3 linked regions of the Saccharomyces cerevisiae S288C genome follow. The protein of the gene in region 3 binds, or shares a complex with, the protein of the main gene of each other region. Each region holds a gene or a part of one and is shown on either strand. Other genes may lie near its edges.

Region 1 (10,342 bases), on a different chromosome or scaffold from region 3:
TCAAGTTTTTGGTTTGAGAACTGAGAATGTTCTTGATTACTTTGCAGAATCACCATTTTTCGATAAGACGTCGAATAATCAGGTAATTAAAATGCAAAGGCAGTTTTCCCAGTTAAATGATCCTAATGCTGCCGTGAATATGACACAAAACATAATGACCTTACCAGATGGGAAGAATGGAAACTTGGAAGAGGAGTTTGCCTATGTGGATCCGGCAAGAAGACAAATCCTTTTCAAGTATCCTATGTATATGCAACTGGAGGAGGAATTAATGAAGTTAGATGGTACTGAATACGTATTGAGCAGCGTAAGAGAGCCTGACTTCTGGGTTATCAGGAAGCAAAGACGAACAAACAATTCTGGTGTGGGAAGCGCTAAGGGACCAGAGATTATTCCATTGCAAGACTACTACATAATTGGTGCAAACATTTACCAATCGCCAACAATTTTTAAAATTGTGCAAAGTAGGCTGATGTCCACGAGCTACCATCTAAATAGCACATTGGAGAGCTTGTATGACTTGATTGAGTTTCAACCTTCCCAAGGAGTACACTATAAAGTACCTACGGACACTAGCACGACTGCAACGGCTGCCACCAACGGGAACAACGCTGGAGGGGGCAGTAACAAGAGCAGTGTACGACCTACCGGCGGTGCCAATATGGCGACTGTTCCCTCAACCACAAATGTCAACATGACAGTCAACACTATGGGTACAGGAGGACAAACTATAGACAACGGTACCGGTCGTACTGGCAACGGTAACATGGGTATAACTACAGAGATGTTGGACAAATTAATGGTCACAAGCATTCGATCCACCCCAAACTACATATGAGAACTGCCATGGCAATTGCATATATCTTTGTACTATATTATAAAACCCCGCGAAATCAACTTTTCAGTTTTCTTCAAAAATCGATGTACCCATCATAAGAAGTTCCCCCAAAAGGAAAGAAATGAGAGGAAAAAGACACGAAGGGAAAACAAAATGAAATTCAGTGGCTTGTGGTGTTGGTTGTTATTATTCCTTAGCGTTAATGTTATTGCATCTGATGTGGGTGAGTTGATTGATCAGGACGACGAAGTAATTACACAAAAGGTGTTTTTCGATATTGAACATGGTGAAGAGAAAGTTGGCAGAATCGTTATTGGGTTGTACGGAAAGGTATGTCCTAAGACGGCGAAGAACTTCTACAAGTTAAGCACCACCACTAATTCCAAAAAGGGGTTCATCGGGTCCACTTTCCATAGGGTGATTCCCAACTTCATGGTACAGGGAGGGGACTTCACAGACGGCACTGGCGTTGGTGGCAAATCCATCTATGGAGATACTTTCCCTGACGAAAACTTTACTTTGAAGCATGATCGCAAGGGCAGACTATCGATGGCTAATCGTGGTAAAGATACCAATGGATCTCAGTTCTTCATCACCACTACGGAAGAAGCGTCGTGGCTCGATGGAAAGCATGTGGTATTTGGACAGGTTGTGGACGGCATGGATGTGGTGAACTACATACAGCACGTGTCCAGAGATGCGAATGACAAACCTCTCGAGGCGGTCAAGATCGCAAAATGCGGTGAGTGGACGCCTGAGCTCTCTTCTTGAGTATATGCAATATTTCATACTATATACATAGATATCAATTTCAGTATGTATAGTTAAAGGTAAATTAACTAGAGAACGTGGGAACAGTTCCGCACTGTGACCACCGGAACGTACGTCTGGTTAGCGCAGCATTAGTCCCAGTTACATCCGATTCAAAATGCAACAGCAAGTATTAATTGGGGAAATCATATCATTTTGAATATAACCTTGGCGTCCTACTAAGGATGGTTATACATCCTAGCTCGTGTAGTGTGATATTTTGCAGGAATGATGCAAAGAGAGGAAGAACAAGAAGAGAGTTGTTGTTTTTAATGTATCTTAGCAATTTATGAGAGGAGCATTGTCGTTGTCTGCTGTGACTAGTGCGTAGCTTTGCCGTTTGTTTTTAATCATGATGGACATGCAAGTGAGAAAAGTGAGGAAGCCGCCTGCTTGCACCCAATGCAGGAAGAGAAAGATCGGGTGCGACAGGGCAAAACCGATATGTGGGAATTGCGTCAAGTATAACAAGCCGGACTGTTTTTATCCAGATGGACCTGGTAAGATGGTCGCTGTGCCCTCTGCGTCCGGGATGTCCACGCACGGCAATGGCCAAGGTTCCAACCATTTTAGTCAGGGAAACGGTGTAAATCAGAAAAACGTAATGATTCAAACGCAGTATCCGATTATGCAAACGTCGATAGAGGCATTCAACTTCTCGTTCAACCCCTCTGTGGATACTGCGATGCAGTGGACCAAGGCCGCTAGCTACCAGAATAATAACACCAATAATAATACTGCTCCTCGTCAGAATAGTAGTACCGTTAGTAGTAATGTTCATGGAAACACTATTGTGAGAAGCGATAGTCCAGATGTGCCCTCCATGGATCAGATTAGAGAATATAACACACGATTACAACTGGTTAACGCTCAAAGTTTTGACTATACAGATAACCCATACTCTTTTAATGTTGGTATCAATCAAGACTCGGCCGTTTTCGATCTAATGACTTCTCCGTTTACTCAAGAGGAAGTATTAATCAAGGAGATAGACTTTTTAAAAAACAAATTGCTTGATTTACAAAGCTTGCAACTGAAAAGTTTGAAAGAAAAATCGAATTTAAATGCCGACAATACCACGGCAAACAAAATTAACAAAACAGGTGAGAATTCTAAGAAAGGCAAGGTTGACGGTAAAAGAGCCGGATTTGATCATCAGACTTCAAGGACTTCTCAGTCCTCACAAAAATACTTTACAGCGCTCACAATAACAGATGTGCAAAGTTTAGTCCAAGTGAAACCGTTGAAGGATACCCCCAACTACCTTTTCACTAAAAACTTCATCATTTTTAGAGATCATTATCTTTTCAAGTTCTATAATATTTTGCACGATATCTGCCATATTAATCAGTTCAAAGTAAGTCCTCCTAACAATAAAAATCACCAACAATATATGGAAGTTTGCAAAGTTAACTTCCCACCAAAAGCAATAATTATTGAGACACTAAACTCTGAATCCCTTAACAATCTGAATATTGAAGAATTTTTGCCAATCTTTGACAAAACCCTCTTACTAGAATTTGTTCATAACTCTTTTCCAAATGGTGATACCTGTCCTTCATTCTCAACGGTCGATCTTCCTTTATCTCAACTGACCAAACTAGGCGAATTAACTGTGCTTCTACTGTTGTTAAACGATTCAATGACCCTATTCAATAAGCAGGCTATTAATAACCATGTTTCGGCATTAATGAATAATTTGAGGTTGATTCGAAGCCAAATCACATTGATAAACCTGGAATATTATGACCAAGAGACAATCAAATTTATTGCCATCACAAAATTTTATGAATCTCTGTACATGCATGATGATCATAAATCAAGTTTAGACGAAGATTTGAGCTGTCTGTTAAGCTTCCAGATAAAAGATTTCAAGTTATTCCATTTTTTGAAAAAAATGTATTACTCAAGACATTCGCTTCTAGGTCAGTCTTCATTCATGGTACCCGCTGCTGAAAACCTATCTCCGATACCTGCCTCTATTGATACGAACGACATTCCTTTAATTGCTAACGATTTAAAATTACTGGAAACGCAAGCAAAATTGATAAATATTCTGCAAGGTGTTCCTTTCTACTTGCCAGTAAATTTAACCAAAATTGAAAGTCTGTTAGAAACCTTGACTATGGGCGTGAGTAATACAGTAGACTTATATTTTCATGACAACGAAGTCAGAAAAGAATGGAAAGACACTTTAAATTTTATCAATACCATTGTTTATACAAATTTTTTCCTTTTTGTTCAAAACGAATCCTCTTTGTCCATGGCAGTTCAACATTCTTCTAACAACAATAAGACCTCGAACTCTGAAAGATGTGCAAAGGATCTGATGAAAATTATTTCTAATATGCACATTTTTTACTCAATAACATTTAATTTTATCTTCCCCATAAAGTCGATAAAGTCATTTTCAAGCGGCAATAATCGCTTTCATTCTAATGGTAAAGAATTTTTATTCGCAAATCATTTTATTGAAATCTTACAGAATTTTATAGCAATCACATTTGCTATTTTCCAACGTTGTGAAGTAATATTATATGACGAATTTTACAAAAATCTTTCAAATGAGGAGATTAATGTTCAATTGCTATTGATTCATGACAAGATTTTGGAAATTTTAAAAAAAATAGAAATTATCGTATCCTTTTTACGAGATGAAATGAATAGCAACGGAAGTTTCAAATCTATTAAAGGTTTCAACAAGGTTTTGAATCTGATTAAATATATGCTGAGATTTAGCAAGAAAAAACAAAATTTTGCGAGAAACTCTGATAACAATAATGTTACAGATTATAGTCAGTCGGCGAAGAACAAAAATGTTCTCTTGAAATTCCCCGTTAGTGAACTGAACAGAATCTATTTAAAATTTAAGGAGATTTCAGATTTTTTAATGGAAAGAGAAGTTGTCCAAAGGAGTATAATTATTGACAAGGATTTGGAATCTGATAATCTGGGTATTACTACGGCAAACTTCAACGATTTCTATGATGCATTTTATAATTAGTAAGCCGATCCCATTACCGACATTTGGGCGCTATACGTGCATATGTTCATGTATGTATCTGTATTTAAAACACTTTTGTATTATTTTTCCTCATATATGTGTATAGGTTTATACGGATGATTTAATTATTACTTCACCACCCTTTATTTCAGGCTGATATCTTAGCCTTGTTACTAGTTAGAAAAAGACATTTTTGCTGTCAGTCACTGTCAAGAGATTCTTTTGCTGGCATTTCTTCTAGAAGCAAAAAGAGCGATGCGTCTTTTCCGCTGAACCGTTCCAGCAAAAAAGACTACCAACGCAATATGGATTGTCAGAATCATATAAAAGAGAAGCAAATAACTCCTTGTCTTGTATCAATTGCATTATAATATCTTCTTGTTAGTGCAATATCATATAGAAGTCATCGAAATAGATATTAAGAAAAACAAACTGTACAATCAATCAATCAATCATCACATAAAATGTTCAGCGAATTAATTAACTTCCAAAATGAAGGTCATGAGTGCCAATGCCAATGTGGTAGCTGCAAAAATAATGAACAATGCCAAAAATCATGTAGCTGCCCAACGGGGTGTAACAGCGACGACAAATGCCCCTGCGGTAACAAGTCTGAAGAAACCAAGAAGTCATGCTGCTCTGGGAAATGAAACGAATAGTCTTTAATATATTCATCTAACTATTTGCTGTTTTTAATTTTTAAAAGGAGAAGGAAGTTTAATCGACGATTCTACTCAGTTTGAGTACACTTATGTATTTTGTTTAGATACTTTGTTAATTTATAGGTATACGTTAATAATTAAGAAAAGGAAATAAAGTATCTCCATATGTCGCCCCAAGAATAAAATATTATTACCAAATTCTAGTTTGCCTAACTTACAACTCTGTATAGAATCCCCAGATTTCGAATAAAAAAAAAAAAAAAAGCTATTCATGGTACCCGCTGCTGAAAACCTATCTCCGATACCTGCCTCTATTGATACGAACGACATTCCTTTAATTGCTAACGATTTAAAATTACTGGAAACGCAAGCAAAATTGATAAATATTCTGCAAGGTGTTCCTTTCTACTTGCCAGTAAATTTAACCAAAATTGAAAGTCTGTTAGAAACCTTGACTATGGGCGTGAGTAATACAGTAGACTTATATTTTCATGACAACGAAGTCAGAAAAGAATGGAAAGACACTTTAAATTTTATCAATACCATTGTTTATACAAATTTTTTCCTTTTTGTTCAAAACGAATCCTCTTTGTCCATGGCAGTTCAACATTCTTCTAACAACAATAAGACCTCGAACTCTGAAAGATGTGCAAAGGATCTGATGAAAATTATTTCTAATATGCACATTTTTTACTCAATAACATTTAATTTTATCTTCCCCATAAAGTCGATAAAGTCATTTTCAAGCGGCAATAATCGCTTTCATTCTAATGGTAAAGAATTTTTATTCGCAAATCATTTTATTGAAATCTTACAGAATTTTATAGCAATCACATTTGCTATTTTCCAACGTTGTGAAGTAATATTATATGACGAATTTTACAAAAATCTTTCAAATGAGGAGATTAATGTTCAATTGCTATTGATTCATGACAAGATTTTGGAAATTTTAAAAAAAATAGAAATTATCGTATCCTTTTTACGAGATGAAATGAATAGCAACGGAAGTTTCAAATCTATTAAAGGTTTCAACAAGGTTTTGAATCTGATTAAATATATGCTGAGATTTAGCAAGAAAAAACAAAATTTTGCGAGAAACTCTGATAACAATAATGTTACAGATTATAGTCAGTCGGCGAAGAACAAAAATGTTCTCTTGAAATTCCCCGTTAGTGAACTGAACAGAATCTATTTAAAATTTAAGGAGATTTCAGATTTTTTAATGGAAAGAGAAGTTGTCCAAAGGAGTATAATTATTGACAAGGATTTGGAATCTGATAATCTGGGTATTACTACGGCAAACTTCAACGATTTCTATGATGCATTTTATAATTAGTAAGCCGATCCCATTACCGACATTTGGGCGCTATACGTGCATATGTTCATGTATGTATCTGTATTTAAAACACTTTTGTATTATTTTTCCTCATATATGTGTATAGGTTTATACGGATGATTTAATTATTACTTCACCACCCTTTATTTCAGGCTGATATCTTAGCCTTGTTACTAGTTAGAAAAAGACATTTTTGCTGTCAGTCACTGTCAAGAGATTCTTTTGCTGGCATTTCTTCTAGAAGCAAAAAGAGCGATGCGTCTTTTCCGCTGAACCGTTCCAGCAAAAAAGACTACCAACGCAATATGGATTGTCAGAATCATATAAAAGAGAAGCAAATAACTCCTTGTCTTGTATCAATTGCATTATAATATCTTCTTGTTAGTGCAATATCATATAGAAGTCATCGAAATAGATATTAAGAAAAACAAACTGTACAATCAATCAATCAATCATCACATAAAATGTTCAGCGAATTAATTAACTTCCAAAATGAAGGTCATGAGTGCCAATGCCAATGTGGTAGCTGCAAAAATAATGAACAATGCCAAAAATCATGTAGCTGCCCAACGGGGTGTAACAGCGACGACAAATGCCCCTGCGGTAACAAGTCTGAAGAAACCAAGAAGTCATGCTGCTCTGGGAAATGAAACGAATAGTCTTTAATATATTCATCTAACTATTTGCTGTTTTTAATTTTTAAAAGGAGAAGGAAGTTTAATCGACGATTCTACTCAGTTTGAGTACACTTATGTATTTTGTTTAGATACTTTGTTAATTTATAGGTATACGTTAATAATTAAGAAAAGGAAATAAAGTATCTCCATATGTCGCCCCAAGAATAAAATATTATTACCAAATTCTAGTTTGCCTAACTTACAACTCTGTATAGAATCCCCAGATTTCGAATAAAAAAAAAGCATATGTATTAATCCTAAAATGTATTATGAGAACGTCTTTTAAAGGTAAAATGCTGTTATCCCCGTCACTTTCAATGATCTATTTATTTGAAGCGGATAGTACAACAGATCAGTCTAAAACGTATAAGCTCTTAGACCGAGAAACCAATATTCAAATAATGACTTTATTTTTAATATACACTTCAAACATATATAGATATATACATATGCACCGCACTCTATGAAATTCAAATTTTTTTCTTCACAAGAAAAAAATGAGAGAAAAGATAGATAAGGAGGAAACAAATTAACTTTTAGCCTTCTTGACAGCTTCTGACTCGCTAGATTCTTTTTCAAGCTCGCTAGAAGATCTCTTTTTTGCATTGTTAATTTGTTTAGAGAAAATTGAACCCAATTCGGAAGGATTGGCGATTTCCATCAAACCCTTGTTGAAGGTAGACAAATGAACTTGTACACCATCAATGGTGACCATGTCATCTTCGTGGGTTTCTTCGATTTTGTCCTTTTTAGCTTCAAGTTCATCAAGAACGTCCTGGTTATAGTATAATGGCAATACGGGCGACCTATTGGTCTTGATAAAAATGGATCTGATTTGGTATGCTTTGATTAACTGTTCAGAAATTAATTCAACGTTATCTACAAACTCTTCTGGCCTTAACCATTCTAAATTACCCAAATGGACATTCAACGTGGTACCTCTTGGAAGTTTAACGGGCAACTGATTCATGTAAACCTTTTTGATATTGTTCGTCAAAGTGGTCAAGGAAAATTCCTTATTTGCATGTGTTCTAATTGATATAGGAGTAGTTTCTACTTTGTTGTAGGCTTTGCCTCCCATAAGTTTTGGCAAAGATGTAACTATACTGTCGTCAGCCAAAATCAAAGAAAACTGAGATATAAAAGCGTTTCTAGCCTCATATGCCTTGTAAACGGTCTTTAAGTCTTTCCCGCAAATGATTTCATCAACCTTGATTCCTTCTGAATCTAATTGATCAAATAAATCATCTTCTGAAACTTTCTTAATATCAGAATCCTTCAAAATTAATAAAACTTTGAAATCCTTAACCGCTGTTGCACTGGCTTCTTTCCAAGGCTTGTAAAACGAATGTTTGACATTTAGTAATTTCAATTTGAATGATTTGGAAGTACCGGTGAATGATTTATTATTTACTACGATTAATTGCAGATCTTTCTTCAATTCTTCTTCATCATCTTCCAATAGGTTTTTCTTACCGTTATTTCCTTCTTCATTATTTTCATCTTGTGGCTTGGAAGTGAATTTTATAAGCTCGTTGACAGCTTTAATAACTCTTTCCCTAGGAATGGCTGTGGAAGATTTCTTTTCAATAACCTTCTTCTTTTCTTTGCTTGGTGTACTTACAGGCGTAGATTTCTTTGAGTTACTCTTTTTAGCCATTTTATACTTTATAGTCTGGAACGTAGGTTTATCTGCCTGCTGTCTAATATTTCTTATAAAACAGACACTATTCTTTATGCAGTATACAAACGCTTTTTGTTACTTTTCAAAATTTGCGATGAGCTCCAGTGGAAAAATTTTTTTCAGGAAATTGTCTTTAATTTTTTTAGTATGAAGTGACATCAACTTCACATTTATTGACGCAACGGTGAAGCACAGAATAGAATAGTAATTCTTTAATGGTATATTCTAGGTTTTTGTTTTTTATATAGTTATTTATTGTTTTATTATTTTTCCCATTCTTCTTTCCTGAAATAGAACACAAAAAAGCTACTAACAAAGGATATTAAAGGTAATCTGTGACCAGCCCTCATTACCAAAAATAAAGTTTGTTCAAGTAATAGAGTAGAGAAAACAAAGTGGAAATCATAATGGTTAAATTTAAATATTTTTCTTTTACTTTTCTTATTTCACCTCTTGTGATCTTATCGTTGATTTTGATATATTAGTTTCTGAGTGGATGAATATCCATAAAGGGTAAAACAAATAATAAGGTAAAAGGGAAGAAAAAAAAAAAATAAAAACTAAAATCGTTTTACAAAATAAATACGAATCTTATTTCAAATTGAGGAATTTTCCACAAATAAAAAAAGGACAACAAATTACAGACGTTGTGTGGTAGCTTTTTCCTTATTATTAAGAAGAGCTTGGAAATAGCTCTTCCTTTAAGGGAACGCCCAATTCTTGTCTGACATCCTTCAATTCATCCAAGTAGGCCTTGTATTGGTCTTCATTCTCCACCTTGTATTTCAAAGCCTCAAATACTCTAATTGCGGTAGGTAAGTCATTGACTCTTCTGGCAGCCCTCAAAGCTTTTTCAATAACAGCAGGAGCAGGAACTAAATCATAGGAAAAACAGTTGTTGAGCACTCTTTGCACTTCAAACAAATCATAGGCTTCATCAAACTCCTTTTCGTATCTTGCGGTGAATTCCTCAAAGGTTTCTTCATCATGTGCGTCAGAATACTTCCTACTTTGAATAAACGTATTTTTAGTCAATCTAGTTGCATGATAAGCACCAGGTCTGGCTCTCAATAAAGTTCTATTTATAACTGGATTTCTGAATATGGCCCTTGATAACATTGTTGTATATTTATTAGTTTATGTGTCAAATACAATTGTTCGGCTGTTTATCTCCGCTACTAAGTCTCAGAAGTGATACAATTTTTCAAATTGTAATAATAAATAAGTGTGCTAAAATGTGGATGAAATGTAAAGAAATGAGGTAACCTTGAGATCTGGCACCTTGATAAGCAAGAGCAATTGTTGATCTTTATTAATGCTTTGACCGGACC
Region 2 (10,342 bases), on a different chromosome or scaffold from region 3:
ATACCTCAGAAAAACTCAAATTTAATGTAGGATGTTCTATTAACCATTCATTGTCTGCCGCGAATTCTTCAAATGATAACGCTACTAACTGTTCGTCAACATCTGATGGATACGAAATATCGTGAGAAGCAAGATATCCGACCATAGAATCTAAATGACGTAATGTGATCGTTGATCCATAGTACAATCGACTCGGTTGTACTTGAGGGCCTCTTAAATAGGACTTGAAATATGTGCTCATATATTTTGAAAATTGTGGCGTGTCTGTCTTAAAATTCGAAAGTAAGTTCGAATAACTTATTATGAAGATGGAACCAGGGATAATCAAAACGAATAATAGACAGAGAATGACAAATTTTATTATTTGGATGGTCGTAACTTTAACGTCGCTTATCAGTCTATCAAATTGACGTACAAAAGAAAGAATTACGAAGGCCCAAGTGACAATTCCAATAAATTTAGAAGAGATTGCCAGCCCTAAAGAAATAGATAATGTAATCACATTAGCAAACCAATTCGTAGTTCCCAGTTTTGCAATTGAAATGCTTATAAAACTGTAAATTACTACTGAGAACAGACACCATTCTAAACTGTCAAATGATATAATAGTGCCCTCATTTCTGAAAGTTTCCCAGTTGGATAATATCAGCAAACCTGTTGCTGAAATTAAACGAGAGCAATTGATTCTCCTTGTTATCAGGAAAAGAAAACCTAAAGTCGATGAATTCAAAAACAAAGAAACGTATCTTAAATTTTCTGCGATCTTTAATCTTCGAATAATGGAGTAGAACTGTATTGTAAATGGTGGCAATTCATGGATGTAAAAAGCCTTGTCTAGGTAAAACTGAATTAATTGGGAAAGTTCTTGTTCACTATTATTGTCCCATGGTCGGTTCCAGAATGAAGAAGAGTGCGATTTCCATATTAATGTGAAATTGGTAATAACAATCAAAAACGCGAAAATATAATCAAGCGTCTTTAAGTGACCAATTCCACATTGTTGGAAAATATTATAGGGAATGTACTTTCTGTAGGGCCCCTGTAATCTCAAGTCCTTCATGTTTTGTAAGTTAATTTTTTTCTGTTCAAACACTATCGCCCTTAAGTGTCTACGTTCTTATTCTCCTTAAATAATAACATTTTTAGTATTCGATTTTCTATTTTTCCTTTCTTCATTACTTCATTACCAAAGTAAGAGTGACCGATGTAGGAAGCAATATTGAAAGGAAGGGAAGGGGAGCACAATGAAACAAAGGGTTAGTGTGATGAAAACGACAGGAAGTAACTATAAGAAGCAGTAAAGTTGAGACTTGCTGCACCATTTTTATTGCCACACCTTTATTAGTTCTTTATGAATCCTAAGCTGTCATCCGTAATATTGTTCCAATAGTGTAGCGGCTATCACGTTGCCTTCACACGGCAAAGGTCCCGAGTTCGATCCTCGGTTGGAACATTTGTTTTTTCACTACTACTATATTTTTAGTTGAATCCTAGGCCACATTTAATTGACTAATAGACTTAAGATCGAGATTAGTAATCTTCTGACTTTTTTCTACTGTGTAATTGTTGAATGATAGTCTCTATTTTATTGTTAAAGCCCTGCGGCCGGGTTACCTCTTCATGAGGGGTAAGGGTTGTCAATACAAGATGTGTCTAGTATTGAGAGTAATATGACGGCATCGTCAAGATTTGTACATCGACAAACATGTGCAACAGCTCTAACACATAATCATATCAACCACAGTACTCAGTAATGGCAAACAAATCACGACCCAAGAAAATCAAGGCTCCTTACAGGAAGTACGTGGCGGGAGAGGGTTTCTCCTCTACAAGAAATGATAATAAGGCTAAAGAATTCACTATCACTATACCGGAGGATGCAGAACTCATTGAGACTCCACAGGGGTCTTATTACTATGATGAAACCAATGATACTATAGTGAAATTGACACGACTGAGTAATGAAAAAAAGGATAAAAAAGGACGTAAGCAGTCGCCATCGTCATCATCGACATCGTCCTCCAAAGGAGAAAAAAATGGCAAAGTCATAGAGAGTGAGGAAGCGAGGATGCATTCAGTATCAGTAAAGATGGTTTTGCCATGGGAGATACAGCATAGAATAATTCATTATCTTGATATACCAGAGAAAGAAGAAAAATTAAATAAAACTGCTAATGGAAAAAAAACTACGACTGGTATAAATATGAACTACTTACTAGTTTGCAGAAACTGGTACGCCATGTGTCTACCAAAGCTTTATTATGCACCAGCGTTAACAAGTAAGAATTTCAACGGGTTTGTTGATACAATAATCATAAATAAAAAGAAGAATTTAGGACACTATGTTTTTGAGTTGAACTTGTCTACAATTTTACAAAGTGGTAGAAATTCATTTGTCTCCAAGCTTTTACGACGATGCTGTTCTAACCTAACTAAATTCATCGCACCACAGACAAGCTTTGGTTACGCGCCTTTGATTTCATTGAAATCGTGTCATGATTTGAAATTTTTAGACTTGGGTTTAGTATCGGAAACAGTTAAGCTGAAGGAGTTATTTTCTGCCATTAAAAATTTCACTAAATTAACGCATTTATCTTTTCCCAGATCGTCGATTGACTGCCAAGGGTTCCAAGATATTCAATGGCCACAGAATCTCAGGTACTTGAAATTGAGTGGAGGTATAACAAATGAATTTGTGATTGATACGAAATGGCCAACAACTATTACAACTTTAGAATTCTCTTATTGTCCTCAAATAACGGAATTGTCTATTTATTCGTTGTTATCACAGATCGGTGATAATTTAAAGCATTTATTTTTTCATTATCCGATGCCATCTCTGGCAGAAAATTCCCTAGACCATGTCTTCACGTACTGTGCTAATTTAATTTCTTTGCAGCTCATGGTTGATTACTGTTCTAAGTGGTGCTTTTCTGAATTCATGCTAAGTAAATTGGTGGAATATGATAGGCCTCTTAAAACATTGTACTTAGAATGCAGCGGATCCTTGGGATTAGCTTCTAAGATTCATCCCGATGACTTGACTATAGCCATACTGGAATCCAGGCTGCCCTGCCTAAAGAATATTTGTGTTTCTCCCAAGCTGGGGTGGAACATGAAAAGCGATGAAGTCGCTGATTTGGTAGTCTCTTTGGAAGATCAAGATGGCAGTTTATATCTTAATTATTAAAATGTTCATTGTTTGTTTTATAAGAGTCAGTGTTTTCTTTTAGACACTATTAGGAAGAATTATTTTATCCGGCCTAAAAAAAATATTTTACATGCAAACTTGCATATATTTTGCCATTGACACCAATTAGAATGTGTAATTTTCCTGGTTTATACGTTTCTCAAGATATGGTCGAATCTTCTTTTCTGCTCAATTGTAAGAAGCGAAGAAAAAAAGGAAGCTCCATTGATCTATCTTGGGCTCAGAATGATCTTAAGCAAAACAAAGAAACCTAAAAGCATGAATAAGCCAATATATTTCAGCAAGTTTCTTGTAACTGAACAAGTTTTCTATGTATGCACTCTCATATGTTTTTTTGTACCCCATTCGCACCATTGCGTTACTAACTATATGGAGACCTTATAATCTCTGCTTCTTTACAGAAGTCAAAATATACGTATGCATTGGTAAACTTGAAACCAATTGTACCCGGACATGTACTGATCGTTCCACTGAGAACTACGGTTTTAAACTTATCAGATCTGACCATGCCTGAATCTCAAGATTATTTCAAGACTTTACAGTTAATACATAGATTTATTAAGTGGCAATATAAGGCTGACTCTATCAACGTTGCCATCCAAGATGGACCTGAGGCCGGACAGTCGGTACCCCACTTGCATACACACATTATTCCACGTTATAAAATAAACAATGTAGGGGATTTAATATACGATAAATTAGATCATTGGGATGGTAATGGGACTTTGACTGATTGGCAAGGAAGAAGAGACGAATATTTGGGTGTTGGTGGTAGGCAAGCAAGAAAAAATAACTCTACATCGGCCACTGTAGACGGGGATGAACTCTCACAAGGTCCTAATGTCTTGAAGCCAGACAGTCAAAGGAAGGTTCGAGCTTTAACCGAAATGAAAAAAGAAGCTGAGGATCTTCAAGCCAGACTAGAAGAATTTGTATCTTCTGATCCTGGTTTAACACAATGGTTATAGTTCAATAAATAATAGATTCATACTTACGATATAAAAAATAGTAGGGAAGTTAATTTTCGTTTCGCAGCGAATCCCTTTTAGCAGAGGAAAAAAAAGATGAAACCATCCTTACTACTTTCCTCGAGGAGACTCAACAGTAAAGGTTACTTTCAATTCAATAAACAAAAGGCACAGCGATATCCGCAATTATGAAGCTTCAATTTTTTTCCTTTATTACCTTATTTGCTTGTCTCTTCACAACAGCCATTTTTGCGAAAGAGGACACGGCAGAAGATCCTGAGATCACACACAAGGTCTACTTTGACATTAATCACGGTGATAAACAAATTGGTAGAATTGTTATGGGATTGTATGGTCTCACCACACCCCAAACCGTTGAAAACTTTTACCAGTTGACCATTTCCAGGGACCCTAAGATGGGTTATTTGAACTCTATCTTCCATCGCGTTATTCCTAACTTCATGATTCAAGGTGGCGATTTCACTCACAGATCAGGTATTGGGGGTAAGTCTATCTTCGGAAACACGTTCAAAGATGAGAATTTTGATGTCAAACATGACAAACCAGGCAGATTGTCTATGGCCAATCGTGGTAAAAACACCAACGGATCCCAATTTTTCATCACCACCGTCCCATGCCCATGGTTGGACGGTAAGCACGTTGTCTTTGGAGAAGTCTTGGATGGTATGGACGTAGTTCACTACATTGAAAACGTTAAGACCGACAGTAGAAATATGCCTGTAAAGGAAGTTATTATTGTGGAAAGTGGTGAACTGGAAACTGTTCCTTTGGACAATAAAGACGCCGCCAAGCTACAGGAAGAGATCAAAGCGGAAGCTAGCGAAGCAGCCCACGATGAACTCTAAACTGCATCACTATTCAGGAGATGTATAGGCCAGCTATGTAACTATATAGTGCTTATAACAGTTGATTATCACATAGAACGAGTATGTTACCCTATGGCCCTTTTCTGGCACAACTTCACAAGAGTATTTCAATTGACCAACGTGGGTCTTGTTGACCAGCTGGGATCACACAGACCAAGAACTACCTTTATTATTAGGAACATACTGCTTTCTGGACACTTCCACTGCTATACCTTCTCGCAAATAGCCATAGTTCACCAATATTCATTCGGCCCGTTAGACGCTTGTAAGACCACTTTCCCGTTTTCGCCCGAGAAGATATATTAGCTGCTTACATTAGATTATTTCATCAAAACTCACGGCTTTCAAACCAAAGTCATTGGTGCTCTGCTGCAATTGCCCCATACTACGCAGATATTTAAAATCGAGGTTTCTGTGATATTTTCTTAAGCTCTTATCTACAAAAATAGCATTTCAGAACCAAAAAACAACGATGGATATTCGTGGTAGAAAAATGAAAAAACCGCCTGCATGCGTGCAGTGCCGTAAGAGGAAGATAGGCTGCGATCGTGTTAAGCCGATTTGTGGGAACTGTATGAAGCATAATAAAATGGACTGCTTTTATCCGGACGTTCCCGGACAATACGTTCCCTCTAGTTCTTCCTCTTCCAATACACGCCAAGTAGCCAACGGTCCGTACTTAAACTCTTATTACGCTTCTCGTCGTGTCTCCAAGGAAACTGCTGCACTTTTGCAGAAAAATCCAGAACTGGCTTCTTTGGAGCAAATAAGAGAATACAACACGCGTCTGCAACTGCTCAATGCTCAAAATCAACTTAATAATAGATCATCTGCGGCAAATGCAACCTTGAATCAACAACACACTCAATATATTCCAAAATCAGTGCCTTCCTTGGAAAGTAAGCCAGTCACTTCTGCAAACGAATCTTCTACTCCACTCAATTGGGTTCAAGGCCCTGCAATTTTTCATATGCTAACCTCTCCTTACACACAAGATGAAATCATCAATCATGAAATGAATTTCTTGAAAGGCAGACTACTGGAATTGCAAGAAATTACAGGTAAGAAAATTACGGGAGTAAATCTTGATCTCAAGCAGGATTCCTCAGCGCAAATGCAGTCTTCACACTCCAATAGAAACCAAGAGGAGTTTTTGACAATTAAGAAAAGAAAACTGAGTGAAGACGGCGTTACGGACGGGGACGGTAAGCCAATTCCAGAGAGTGAAAGAAGACCTCATCTTAATGAATTTAAGGATTTAGATCCTCAATTTTTGGATACTAATAAAGTTTTTAATGTGTTTAATTCTGCTATTTCAGAAGAAGGTAGAAACAGATTATGGCTGTTACCAAAAAATATAAATAAAAGTTCTATCTTCCAGATTCAGTATTTGATTGAACGTGATCCTTTCCTATTCAAATTCTTCAATGACTTGAATATATTAATTGAAACGCAATTTAATGGACCTTTGCACGATTTGGTAGCAAGCCGTAACAGTATTGAGCGCAACAGTGGCATATCTCAAATATTAAAGTTTCCTTCACAATCGATAACACAGACCCTTATCAACAAATACTTATCCACGATAACGGAAACGAATTCAATACTTCCAATATTAAAACCAAAGAGACTATTACCCATAGTTGAGCAGCTTTTTCCTTCTAACACCATTAATAAGCCAAATTCTAAAGATTTTGAAACTATTTTTCAAGTTTTTAGTGTGACCAATGATCAGCTACTAAATCTAGGATTTATTACTCTCTGTCTCCTGATTCTTTTTGAATCGTTGAATTCTACGGTTTTGATTCCTCTTAGAGATGATGAACACTTGCAATTATTCAATGTGTTATTCAACTACTTGCCTTTGTTGAAGTCTAATTTAACAACGCTTAGATTTGAAATTGAAAAAAGGTCAATGTGTAATATAGAGACCCTGCGGTTTATTTCTTTGTGGAAATATTACCAATTTGTGATGGACACGTCGTCATCGTCCTCTTTCGTAATTGATTACGACGAAGATATGCATATGGCATGTTTACTATCGTTAAATCATGAAACTCAAAATCAATCTCATATTTTGACCTGGAATTTCATATTTAAGAACTACTGCTGGAGACACCTTTTCTTAGGTCAATTGCCGTTGCTAATGTCTGAACCTTTCACAAATTCTACCCCAATTATTGATCCTTTGTTGAACAACGATTTTGAATTGATTGATTTTGAAGTAAACTTGATGAAATATTTGCAAAGTAAAGATCAACAACTATCCATTGATAAAATTATACAGTTAATCAAGCTTTTGAAAAATAAGAATATCGAGGTCAGCCAAGGATGTTTAACGACTCCTTCAATAATTAATAATATCATGGATTCTCTAATCTACAGGAATTCAATGTTATATTTGAACTTTTACCTCTTATTGCAATTTGAAACATTGAAAAATTATGCTAAATTTAACGAAATTTTGGAAGACTTTTTGGAATTGTCGAGGGAGACCTTGTTCTTTGTTTTCTCGAACTTAGCCAATATTAAATTTGCTGGTCATGAATTCACATTCATCAATAAATCTATTGTGGTTCTGCAAACTTTAGTTTTAATGCTTTTGGCGCTCTATCAAAGGTCTTTTGATTCTTCAAAGAGGACGAATGATGCTAATGAAATCAGTGAGCAAACAGATATTCATAGTAATAACGACAATAGTAAGAGAATAAAGAATAAAAATGTTATTCATTTAATTATCAACAAAATTGCAATGTTGTTAAGTGATTATACCAAGAATTGTAAAAAGCAAAATAAACTCATCGAAAATCTGATTATTAAAATTAAGACAATCTCCAAGTATATCAAAAATCTTGAGGAGAATAAGGTAACGACTAGCGCCGATTCAAATTATTCCATTAATAACGGATTTTCTGGCATATCTGCAGAGCAGTTGATTAAATTAAATCACGAGTTGAGTAAAATTTCAGAATCTCTGATAAAAACGGATTTTTATGAACAGAGGAAAAATAGCACAGTTTCTAATGGAGTTTTAGGCGCAGCAGCTCCTGTTGATAGCGACGCAAATTCGGATACTTTCGGTTTAACAAAGGAGAATTTCAACGAAGTTTTTGAGGCTATTCGTAGCTAAAGCGACTCAAACAAATTAAAGAAGAAGTTGAGACTTTTATAGTATTTATTATTTAATCTGAGGATTTGTATTATTTTTTTATATAGAATGAATAAATCAGAAAAAGGAAATTATGAAAAGAAAAGAATGAGGAGAGTGGGAGATATTTAATGTTGTTAGCTATTTATCTGTATGGAAGTTATTACCTTCTTTTAAGATGGTACAAATAGCATATAGGTGGGTTTGGTATAAAGATCATTTAGTTTTTGTCATAGATTTTTCAATTGTGCATAGGACCAGTTTATGTTACCTCTATCATACTTATATTTTTTTATATACAAATTTTTAAATTACCGATATTATATATAGGCACCGATAGTATAGCCCACCAAAGCGCCCAAATAACCTCCAACAACAATAGGAATTGGCCAATTCTGCCAATCTCTATCCCAATCCAAAGGAATGACAACACAACTAATCCAACCCCCTACAACGATAAAGATAAAATACTTCTTCCATAATCCCACTTTGAAATCACAATTAAATACAGAATAAACTGCAGGGTATGCTAAAAATGCAAAATGCAGTGACAACAGCCAGGTTTCCCACAATAAGTCCATTAATGGCGCACCAAATAATATAGTTAATAACATTGTGGGAAAGCTCAACAAAAATGTAACACCTAGACAAATAATGGTCAATGAGTAATTGATCTTAATGATTTTGTTACCGTAAACTGTGCATTTATTGAATTGTAAAACTAAATAAGCAACTTGTGTAGGAATCAAAAAACTTAGCAACTTCACCGTATTGAAATTTGAAGATACAAAAACGTAGTAATAAAGTAGTGCTACTAAATGGTATGGAAATGTCATCAGAGGGGTTTTCCTCACATACACAGGTGGACGATCATGATCTACGTTCTTTTTCTCACGATTTTGGTGCGTTGTTAATGTTGTGTCATCGGAGAATGATACGGTTTTTTTCACTGTCTTTCTAGTCCTTTTTTTAGCTGGCATATTTAAATTGGACCTTCTTTAGTGCACTTGTTTATGTTCCTGCAAAGTCTTTGATTAAAGGCACCGTTTGCACTTTTGCTTTATTTCACTAACTGTTCTTTATTTGTTTTTTTTGCTGTGCAAAAAGTAACTTTTTCCTCATCCCCGCGTTACGTAAATAGTTCCGAAAATGTACGATGATACATGCGTTATTGTTACAAATCTAGTGTTTCAAGTAGTGGTTCTTATTCACTACTCGAATGCCTAGTGATAGATAGATGTATATATCGGGCTAGTTAGCATTAAATATCCTTTATATGTATTGTTCACTTACCCTGGCATAAAGATCTCATTGAAAATTCAATATTTATGATATCTCTCCATGCTTCAAAATGCGCATGTCTTCCTGCTTTCTGCGCAATGCTTTTCCGTCTATCAATAGCTAATCCACAGAACCTCCGTATAACGTTGAAATCAAGCATAGGCCTCATAGAGTGACCCATCTGATAAAAGTCGTTGGCCAATCTTTCCATGCGAGGGTTTAAACCACCTAGCTGTAATTCTCGATCGATGATTTGTTGTTGAATCACATAAAGTCTTCTGTATTTTTCCTCACTTAAAGGAACTATCTTGAAGACTGACCCATCCACTTGGCCACCAACGTTTTGAAACGATGGCACTTGAGGAGAGCCAAATTCCTCGTTTCTTGGTAAAAGCATCATACAACTATTGGTGGAATGCAACGTGAAACTGGAGCAGTGGACTAAACGTTGACCCGAAAGAGAGTTGGGTTCATCTGGCGCATATTTTAAAACATGAACATTTCTGTCAGCATCTGTTGCCGCAAAATACATATCCCCTCCGTTCACTAAAAACTCTAGCGACATTGTTTGAAATTTCGACATACTTCTGCCCAATGAAATCATCCTGTATGGTTCTGCGTCAAAACCAATAAATTGGAACCCCTGCATAGCGTCACCAATTATCAAAAGATTACCAAAGCTTTTAGAATCCGTAACGAAAACAGGAATATCCAAAAATGCCACTGGTATGACGGAATTATCTTCTTGGATATCTCTTACTAGAACTTTTTGGCTTTGACTAATCATGAATCTTCCACTAACCTCACAAACAGTAGATACAGTACCACTGACCTCTTCTTGAAAAAT
Region 3 (10,342 bases):
TGTATTTTAAAACCAGCGTAGCAACAGTTAGATCGATAACGGCTTGCTCGGTAAGTGCTTTGTTTTTGGAGACAATTTCTTTGAAAGTGGATTGGTTTATGATCGCATCGTTTCTCTTTTGTTGTAACGTTACGCCAAAAACCTCTCGGGATTCCATTTGGCCAGGAACATAGTTTGGATCGATTTGTAAAATACAGTATTTTCCGTTTTTCTTCTTAGATAGTATATTCAATGCCTCTGGTTCATACCCTGGAGCAATAACACCATCGGAAACTTCTTTAGAGATGATTTTTGCAGTGGCGACATCTACAATATTGGACAATGCAATGAAATCACCAAAGGATGACATCCTATCTGCACCACGGGCCCTAGCGTATGCGCATGCCAATGGTGATAAATCCTCCATATCATTCACAAAATAAACTTGTCTTTCCACATCGGATAATGGAAGTCCCACAGCAGCACCTGCTGGAGAAACGTGCTTGAACGATGCTGCCGCAGGCAAGTTCAATGATGCAGATAACTCTTTCACTAAGGGCCATGAGTTCAAGGCATCCAAAAGATTTATATATCCTGGTGTACCGCAGAGCACTTTGAAGGGCAACTCCTCCTGCTGAGTGATATAAGCTTGTGCAGGTCTTTGGTGGGGATTACAACCATATCTTAGCGGTAATTGGGCTTTCCCTTCGGAGTACTGTTTCCTGAAAAAGTCAGAAATGGCCGCATCATAATCGGCCGTATGTTCAAACGCCTTAAGTGCAAATCTATTTCTTAAATCCTGAGAAATTTCACCGTCCTTAGACAGGTCTTGCAGAAAGATAGAATAGTCATTAGGGTCTGAAAGAATAGTCACTCTGGAATGGTTCTTTGCGGCTGCTCTCAACAAAGTCACACCGCCAATGTCGATCTCCTCTACAGCTTCTTGAACTGTAACACCAATTTTAGCCACAGTTTCTTTGAACGGATATAGATTACATACAACAAAATCCACCTTATCAATGTGCTGCTCTTTTAAATCTTTTTCATCGCCCTCTAAATTTCTGGCAAGAATACCTGCATGCACAGCAGGGTGAAGAGTCTTGACTCTACCCCCTAGCATTTCTGGTGCATGCGTAATTGAAGAAACATCGTCGACCGGAAAACCAGCTTCTCTGACCATGTTGGCCGTACCACCGGATGCTAGGATACGAACATTGTTCTCTACCAATCCCTTGGCTAAGTCTAATAAACCTGTCTTATCATAAACTGACAAGATCGCAGTCTTGGTATATTTGCCCATTTTTAGCTCTTTTGTTTTTTGTCCCTATTTATGGTATATTTGGATTCTTTGTTTGGAATGGGGTATTGATTAGATCTTGAATGTTATCTAATCGCTAAAAAGAGCAAGAAAAAAACACAAATGCTGAAAACTGGAAAAAAGGACGATCTATTTGCCAATTATTAAGGCTTATTCTTAAAGTGGAAATAGCCCTCTCTTTTGCTTTTCTTGAGTTTTATCTAATGGCTCTAATAAGGAAAAACGGGAAGAAAAGGAAAGAAAAAAAATACAAGAAAATAAGGTGCGACTAAAAAGAACATGGTGTTAATTTATGCGGCGGAGAAATTTACTTGAGCGTAAAGATATTATATATAAGTATTATGGTAGTGCCACCACCTATGTAAGCTGCTAGCATTGGTATACGTAGAACAATTAGGACTCCCTCGTCCGCTCCTTGATACAGGTAGATAAGTTCTGCCTGAGGGGAGGATTGAGAAGAGGGGGTAGGGGTTTGCTTGATAGCAGAATAAAAGTACAGCTCTAGGTCTATAAAAAAAAAAATTGGTTAAAGAAAAAATATACAGGTTTGTATATAGAATCATTAATTAAAAAGATAATAGTATAAAACACATCAGATAAACAAAAGTTTGCCCAATAAAATTATATTTTCCATCAACCAGCTTATTTTCTGTATCTCCACAAGGACAAAGTGTTTTGTCTCTTCCAGGTCTTTCTTCTACCAGCCTTGGTGTTGTTGAATTTGTGACCCTTGTTGATACCTCTGGATTTCTTACCAGTGGCAGTCAAACCTCTAGCTTCACGGTGCTTGTGAACTGGGTCACAGATCCAGTTGTAACGAGCATCTCTTCTGATAGCCTTGTGTTGAGGGTCGACCAAGATAACTTCGAAGTACTTGTAAGTAGAATCTTGGTTAACCCAGTAGGAGTTCAAGACTCTCAAGTTAGCGGCACGACGACCAACTCTTTCTTCAGCGGTAGCTCTCAAGGATCTTTGGTATTTCAATTCATTGACACCTTGGTTAGTTGGCTTACCGTAAGTAGCACCCTTTGGAACAGGTCTCTTTCTGTTACCACGTCTAACTCTGACACGGTAGATAACGAAACCTTGCTTAGCTTTGTAACCCAATCTTCTAGCCTTGTCTGGTCTAGTTGGTCTAGCGGCTCTGTGAATGACATTCTTTTGTCTGTATTCCCAGACTCTGACTCTTTGCAAGAATCTCAAAACATCAGATTGCTTCTTTCTTTGCAATTCTTCCAAATATTTGTAGGCACCCATTGCTGATTTATTTGTTTGATCGTGGTTTTCTTAGATTGTAAAAGAATTACTTAAGGATAGGGAAAGAAACGTGAGAAATAGCAGTTAAATGTACCGGTGGTAAAAATGCAATGCCATCATTCTTTGTTACCAAGCAAAAGTGAGAAATCTTGAAAAATTTTAGCACCTTTGAAAATTTTGCGTCAGCTCCAAGAAATTTCAGAAAATATATTCGACAGCTTTAAATCCGTACATTTATCAAAAAAAGAATATAATATCATGTTTGACGATGTATGCTATGTAAATCATGTCATAATACGCATCAATTGATACTACAAATGCATCTCGGATAGAGACATTGTCATGATAATCGCAACACATGTCGCACCTGGTGCATGTTCTGAACCTTAACACTAAATATTTAAACGTCATGTAGGGTGCGAGTCCATCTCATTCTTGCCCAATAAATTTTAGAAACACCCTCTTATGAAGGGCGGCAAAACATATTAAGTAAGTGTCGATTGTTAAACACTTCCCCTTTTTTTATGCATAGTAAAAGGTACAAAGAAAATAGCGTACCGTCCTTAAATCAATATAGAAATATAATGAAAAAATAAGTGCTTTGATAAGAATATCTTGAATACAAATTAAGAAGTGTATATTTATAGATATTTTCGTTTCAGCTTGTGTCTGTGTGTGGCCTTATATGTAATATATGAGATGGAAGGTGAACAAATTATGGAGTATGTTCAAGAGACACCGATCATTCCAAAAAGGATTATCCATTATTCGATTCCAAAACAAATGATCACAAAGCCCGCTCCCCATGTCGAGATGACGTTGGTAGCTAATACTTTTCGGGACATGGACTTGCCGCAGCATCCGGTTATCCATGATTGTTGGCAAAATAAAGAGTACTCAACTCAAAGATATTCAGGAAATGTGGCTCAACAGAGATTAAGTTTTGAGGAACATCCAAATGAAGAGTGTCAAAATTCTGTTGGGTTAATCAAGAGAGTGAGTACTTTCTTTAAAAAGAGGCCATTGTCTCGAAAGAATAGCATAAAGTCAATCGGTGACGTAAAATCGGAGGCACGTAACCGGGGAGAAGGCCTCCTGGGTGAAGTTGATAATCTTAACGAGCAGAATGTCCGAGAAAACCTGACTAGTGAACATGAAAAGAGTCCTGAAGGAGATTCCAAAAGGTATGGCCTGTTCTCCTTTGAAGAGACCCCCCCTATACAAGTGTTGGAGCAGGGCAATATCAATTCTGAGCTTTCTTCATTTAAAAACACTTCTTTGGCGGAAAACAAACGCTCTTCTGACAGCTTCGTTTCGTTAAAACCGGGTGAAGATGAACATAGCCCTTTAGAGATTAGTACGTGTGGTAATTTGACTGAAAGAGAGGATTTGCAATCTGGCGAAGAACGGTTTGACTCAGCAGCCCAAAATATAAAGGTAGCTTCGATGAAGGAAAAAAAAAAAATCTTCAAAGGGAACAAAACAGATTAATCACTGAGATTATACGCCTCGAAAACATACTAAATAAGCATAGGAAGGCTGAAGCTAAGAATAATATTAACAAACTTGAAAAGAAGTTGAGTGAAACAGATGGTTTTACATCTGTAAACACATCAGTTCCAGTAACTCCTATTATGCCGGTCTTAAATACGAGAACTTCTTATCCCAATATCGACTTTCATGGTACTAAGGTTTCTGATGTTCTAGATGCCTTTGAATTTGAAAAGCATGATGATCCCTTAAGGGATAAATGGAACACTTTACAGTTTTTGGAAAAGAGCTTTGAATCTAAATTTGAATCTGCATCAGAGTTAATCCAAGGAGGCGAGCTAGCTGCTATTAAAGAAAGAAATTTTCAATTAGCCAAACTAAATAATCTTTGCTTTCGGGTACGAGAGTCCATCAAAAGAAGACAAGACCTGGAGAAAAAGTTAAGAACTTTATCGCAGGACACTGACAACGAATTGCTTTTTCTGATGTTGGAAAATGAGAGAAGAAAGAAAAGTTCAGTGATAATAGAGTTTCTTTCTGAGATAATCAGAGAGAAATCCAAAAGATTAACTGCAGAAGAGCAAGGCTTTGTAAATCAAAATGAAGTAAAACCCCTCATTCTGGACCTTTCTGCACGGATAAATAGATTGAATTCTATTCTAGAAACAAAAAATACTTGTATTAGAAGATTAAGTAATCAATAAGTAGTTAAATTTTCATAAATTATTACTTTCTTACATGTTAGTTGGCGCGTCGTCTGGCTGAAAATTTTACGCGTCATAAACCCTTAACTTTTCCACACATTATTCCTTACTGCTAAGCGCATTGCTCACTTGAAAGTAAATTATCTACAAAGTTACATTATCAAAAGGCCTTAGAAACACACCTAAAGTCTTACAGTATCACAATATGAGTCATATTGAACAGGAAGAAAGGAAGAGGTTTTTTAACGATGACCTTGACACTTCAGAAACATCGTTAAACTTCAAATCTGAGAATAAAGAGTCGTTTTTATTTGCAAATAGTCATAATGATGATGATGATGATGTTGTTGTATCAGTGAGTGATACAACAGAAGGAGAGGGAGACCGATCTATTGTGCCAGTCAGGCGAGAAATAGAAGAAGAAGGCCAGAATCAGTTTATTACAGAGCTTTTAAGGATTATTCCAGAAATGCCAAAGGATCTTGTGATGGAACTTAATGAAAAATTCGGCAGTCAGGAGGAAGGGCTCTCTTTAGCATTATCACATTACTTTGATCACAATAGCGGGACGTCTATCAGCAAAATACCGTCTTCCCCGAATCAACTAAATACACTCTCAGATACCTCAAATTCAACCTTGTCCCCATCTTCATTCCATCCTAAAAGAAGAAGAATATACGGGTTCAGAAACCAAACACGATTAGAAGATAAAGTTACTTGGAAAAGATTTATAGGTGCTTTGCAAGTCACTGGTATGGCTACCAGACCCACCGTCAGGCCCTTGAAGTACGGCTCTCAGATGAAGCTAAAGAGATCAAGTGAAGAGATTTCTGCTACTAAAGTATATGACTCACGTGGTAGAAAGAAAGCGTCCATGGCTAGTTTGGTAAGAATTTTTGATATCCAATATGATAGAGAAATTGGCAGAGTTTCGGAAGACATTGCTCAAATACTATACCCTCTTTTAAGTTCACACGAAATAAGTTTTGAAGTTACATTGATTTTTTGTGATAATAAACGGTTGAGTATAGGTGATAGCTTTATTCTACAATTGGATTGCTTTTTAACATCTCTCATTTTTGAGGAACGTAATGATGGAGAATCCTTGATGAAAAGAAGACGTACAGAGGGAGGAAATAAAAGAGAGAAAGACAATGGAAATTTTGGAAGAACATTGACTGAAACTGATGAAGAGCTAGAAAGCCGCTCGAAAAGACTGGCTCTACTAAAGTTATTTGATAAATTGAGGCTAAAGCCTATTTTGGACGAGCAGAAGGCATTAGAAAAGCATAAAATAGAGCTTAATAGTGACCCCGAAATCATTGATTTAGATAACGACGAGATTTGCTCTAATCAAGTGACTGAAGTCCATAACAATCTCCGAGATACTCAGCACGAAGAAGAAACAATGAACTTGAATCAATTGAAAACATTTTATAAGGCCGCACAATCATCAGAATCTTTAAAAAGTTTGCCTGAAACAGAACCTTCTCGCGATGTCTTCAAGCTAGAACTAAGAAATTATCAAAAGCAAGGTCTTACTTGGATGCTAAGGAGGGAGCAAGAGTTTGCCAAAGCAGCCTCTGATGGTGAGGCTTCAGAAACGGGTGCTAATATGATAAACCCATTATGGAAGCAGTTCAAATGGCCAAATGATATGTCGTGGGCAGCTCAAAATTTGCAGCAGGACCATGTAAACGTTGAAGATGGCATATTCTTTTATGCGAACTTACATTCTGGTGAATTTTCGCTAGCAAAACCTATATTAAAAACTATGATAAAGGGTGGCATATTATCAGATGAAATGGGGTTGGGTAAAACAGTGGCAGCGTATTCTTTAGTTTTATCTTGTCCTCACGATAGTGATGTTGTTGACAAGAAACTGTTTGATATTGAGAACACAGCAGTCTCAGATAATCTTCCAAGCACTTGGCAAGATAATAAGAAACCATATGCTTCAAAAACAACGCTAATCGTGGTCCCAATGTCTTTGTTAACGCAGTGGAGTAACGAGTTTACAAAAGCTAATAATTCCCCCGATATGTATCATGAGGTGTATTATGGTGGGAATGTTTCCAGTTTGAAAACCCTATTAACCAAGACAAAAACCCCTCCAACTGTAGTCCTTACTACATATGGTATTGTTCAAAATGAATGGACTAAACATTCCAAGGGAAGGATGACAGATGAGGACGTCAATATATCTTCAGGCTTATTTTCTGTCAATTTTTATCGCATAATAATCGACGAGGGTCATAACATTAGAAACAGAACGACAGTTACATCTAAAGCAGTCATGGCTTTACAAGGCAAATGTAAATGGGTTTTAACAGGAACACCAATTATTAACAGGCTTGACGATTTATACAGTCTGGTTAAGTTTTTAGAGTTAGATCCCTGGCGGCAAATTAATTACTGGAAGACCTTTGTATCAACGCCTTTTGAGAGTAAAAATTACAAACAAGCATTTGATGTGGTGAATGCAATTCTGGAACCCGTATTGTTAAGAAGGACAAAACAAATGAAAGATAAAGATGGTAAGCCATTAGTAGAGTTGCCACCAAAGGAGGTCGTTATTAAAAGACTTCCCTTCAGTAAATCTCAAGATCTTCTATACAAGTTTCTGTTGGATAAGGCTGAAGTTTCTGTTAAATCGGGTATTGCACGCGGTGATTTATTGAAAAAGTACTCCACTATCCTTGTCCATATTTTAAGATTGAGGCAAGTCTGTTGCCATCCCGGTCTTATTGGGAGTCAAGATGAGAACGATGAGGATTTATCTAAAAATAATAAATTGGTTACGGAACAAACGGTGGAGCTTGACTCTTTAATGCGTGTTGTTTCCGAGAGATTCGATAACTCATTTTCTAAGGAGGAATTAGATGCAATGATACAAAGATTAAAAGTTAAATATCCAGACAATAAATCGTTTCAGTCCTTAGAGTGCTCCATCTGCACAACGGAACCTATGGATTTGGACAAGGCTTTATTTACAGAATGCGGCCACAGTTTTTGTGAGAAATGTTTATTTGAATATATTGAGTTTCAGAACAGTAAGAATTTGGGTTTAAAGTGCCCCAATTGCCGTAACCAAATAGACGCTTGTCGGTTGTTGGCATTGGTACAAACGAATAGCAACTCGAAAAATTTGGAATTCAAACCATATTCACCAGCCTCCAAATCAAGCAAAATCACTGCTTTATTGAAGGAGCTTCAATTGCTACAGGATAGTTCGGCAGGCGAACAAGTTGTCATTTTTTCCCAATTTTCTACATACTTGGATATCCTGGAGAAAGAGCTAACTCATACTTTCTCAAAAGATGTTGCAAAAATTTATAAATTCGATGGACGTCTCTCATTAAAAGAAAGAACTAGTGTATTAGCAGATTTTGCCGTTAAAGACTATAGCAGGCAAAAAATCCTATTACTCTCGCTGAAGGCTGGTGGCGTGGGTTTGAATCTAACGTGTGCTTCCCACGCTTATATGATGGACCCATGGTGGTCGCCCAGTATGGAAGATCAGGCAATCGATAGACTGCATAGAATTGGCCAGACAAACAGCGTCAAAGTTATGAGATTTATCATACAAGATAGCATAGAAGAAAAAATGCTACGCATTCAAGAAAAGAAGAGAACCATCGGTGAGGCCATGGACACAGACGAAGACGAGAGAAGAAAAAGGAGAATTGAAGAAATCCAGATGCTGTTTGAATAGTCATACCACATACTCATATATAAAGACTTTATTTATTATTATTTTCAACCCGAAAGAACTAATTATTCTTCAGCTACTTCATGCAACTTCTATTATCTTCCTTTTCCGTTACCCGTATTTTTAAGTTGCAATTATTAAAAAAACAATTAAGAAAATAAAACAGCGCCATAAGGCATGGACGATAGAAATACGAAGACGAAGAAAATCATCATCAGTCGGGATCAAATAAGAGATAATTTTGAAAATCGAAAGTTTTCATTATGACAGAAAGTGTAGGTGGAAATAAACTAGTAGATTTTTTGGTAAATGTTCAATCCATTTTGAATGCTGCCTCTGTGAAATGTCATGTAGTAGATGAAAGTTTTCCAGCCAAGTTCTTTGAGAAAAATCCGGATAAGATATATGAATCATATTGTAAATTCATTAAAAATAGAAGTAACTCTGAAGGTTTGATACGTAATGAAGATAAATTAGTTTTGACAACTATCAATAAGAGGTTTGAAAATGGAGAGTACGAACCCATACAAGGTGGGTTTTATAAGCTGTATCACGACATTAAGCTGGTTTGTACAATCCTCATTCACTTTTATCCTCAGGGTACAAGAAACTACCAATTAGTCGACAAGTTCTACAAATTTTCTTCAGAGCTTTTATTACGAGAATGTTGTAGGATAGGAATTGCTCTAACGCAAACTAATAATATTAAATCAAGAAGTGGTAAGTTGTTGAGCGGAAACGAGATGGATGAATACGACGATGACGATGCAACAGAACTAGACAAAATAATCTCTTATGATTTTATTAAGATTTCTATGAATTACACAGTGCCGATTTCTCAAACATATCAGATAAGAACGAAGGATATGGACCTTTTTTCTTCGATAATTTCTAAATCTAATCTTGACAAAAGACCTCATGAACTTCCTAATACAAACTTCAAAATAAACAACGTCTTACCTCAAACTGATATAGAAAACGAAGCTCCAAGATTAGGATTTGTAGGCGCTAATACTAGTAATATTCCGGACCCTACGTTACCACCAACTGAAATGATGACTAGATTTTTGCATCCAAATTGGTATGCTTTACCTACAACCGTCTGGCTAAAATATGGTAATTATAATTCTTGGGCACCTTCCTTTAATGAAAACGGCACCGTTGTGGATTCGACAACAAGGGGTCTTATTTGGCTTGAAAGAATTGGTTATATGGACTTGTATGAAAAAAATGAAAAGAAAGTAAAACAAGAAGAATTACTGAACACGAATGAAGAAGGCATAAACAGGAAGCAGAACGATGAAAACAACAAAAATGTTGACGGCAAAAGCAATGGCGTTCAGGACGATGGTGGTGATAATGATAATGATGCGACTATCGCTTCTGCAAATTCAGAGAGTACTGAGAATAAGGAACAATTCATAATCAAGCTTCAAAACTTATATAATTGGACACCATCTAATTACATTGGAGATGACGAAATTGAGAACTTTCGAAATGGCACACCAGATAAGTTGGTTTCAGACTCTCTCTTAAAACTTAAAAGACTTAGAAAGGAGAGGATTTTAAATAAAGTTTTGAAGCCTACTACGGAGGAACGAGAATTATACTTCAAAGTGAAAAGAATACTAAAGGAGGTTATCTTAGCAAAGAAGGTTTCCAAGGTTCCTATAAACAATGTAAGGGCCTTTCCAGTATTACAAACAAACTATAATGGTAGCATACCTGTGGTAAGGGCGCAACCAGGTCGTAAACGGAAACACAAGAAATAAATAGTGTCAGCGGTAGTGGAATCAAAGATAAATAATGAATTATCTTTGTTTTAGTTTCATGAAAGCTCATCAAGTCTTTTTTGACTAATGTATGTTTATATTTTGATAT

Evidence for each region.
Region 1: RSC58 (region 3) and RSC30 share a complex: the UniProt entries of both Saccharomyces cerevisiae proteins name them as parts of the two forms of the RSC complex.
Region 2: RSC58 (region 3) and RSC3 share a complex: the UniProt entries of both Saccharomyces cerevisiae proteins name them as parts of the two forms of the RSC complex.

Annotation. Positions count from the first base shown.
Region 1 is NC_001140.6:209,493-219,834, reverse strand, and holds RSC30 (Rsc30p), read left to right. Parts: upstream 1-2,000; coding exon 2,001-4,652; downstream 4,653-10,342. Other genes in the region: mediator complex subunit MED6, read left to right, coding at 1-838; peptidylprolyl isomerase CPR2, read left to right, coding at 992-1,609; metallothionein CUP1-2, read left to right, coding at 5,117-5,302; YHR054C-B (uncharacterized protein), read left to right, coding at 5,145-5,318; YHR054C (uncharacterized protein), read left to right, coding at 5,586-6,650; metallothionein CUP1-1, read left to right, coding at 7,115-7,300; YHR052C-B (uncharacterized protein), read left to right, coding at 7,143-7,316; CIC1 (Cic1p), read right to left, coding at 7,857-8,987; COX6 (cytochrome c oxidase subunit VI), read right to left, coding at 9,684-10,130; YHR050W-A (uncharacterized protein), read right to left, coding at 10,190-10,342. UniProt on the Saccharomyces cerevisiae protein: Component of the chromatin structure-remodeling complex (RSC), which is involved in transcription regulation and nucleosome positioning. RSC is responsible for the transfer of a histone octamer from a nucleosome core particle to naked DNA.
Region 2 is NC_001136.10:1,066,583-1,076,924, reverse strand, and holds RSC3 (Rsc3p), read left to right. Parts: upstream 1-5,538; coding exon 5,539-8,196; downstream 8,197-10,342. Other genes in the region: PMT7 (putative dolichyl-phosphate-mannose--protein mannosyltransferase), read right to left, coding at 1-1,060; PFU1 (Pfu1p), read left to right, coding at 1,754-3,190; HNT2 (bis(5'-adenosyl)-triphosphatase), read left to right, coding at 3,437-3,523, 3,613-4,179; peptidylprolyl isomerase family protein CPR5, read left to right, coding at 4,368-5,045; mannose-ethanolamine phosphotransferase GPI11, read right to left, coding at 8,535-9,194; cleavage/polyadenylation factor CFT1, read right to left, coding at 9,500-10,342. UniProt on the Saccharomyces cerevisiae protein: Component of the chromatin structure-remodeling complex (RSC), which is involved in transcription regulation and nucleosome positioning. RSC is responsible for the transfer of a histone octamer from a nucleosome core particle to naked DNA.
Region 3 is NC_001144.5:200,037-210,378, forward strand, and holds RSC58 (Rsc58p), read left to right. Parts: upstream 1-8,724; coding exon 8,725-10,233; downstream 10,234-10,342. Other genes in the region: bifunctional phosphoribosylaminoimidazolecarboxamide formyltransferase/IMP cyclohydrolase ADE16, read right to left, coding at 1-1,279; 60S ribosomal protein eL15 RPL15A, read right to left, coding at 1,940-2,554; YLR030W (uncharacterized protein), read left to right, coding at 3,254-4,045; YLR031W (uncharacterized protein), read left to right, coding at 4,189-4,749; DNA helicase RAD5, read left to right, coding at 4,955-8,464. UniProt on the Saccharomyces cerevisiae protein: Component of the chromatin structure-remodeling complex (RSC), which is involved in transcription regulation and nucleosome positioning. RSC is responsible for the transfer of a histone octamer from a nucleosome core particle to naked DNA.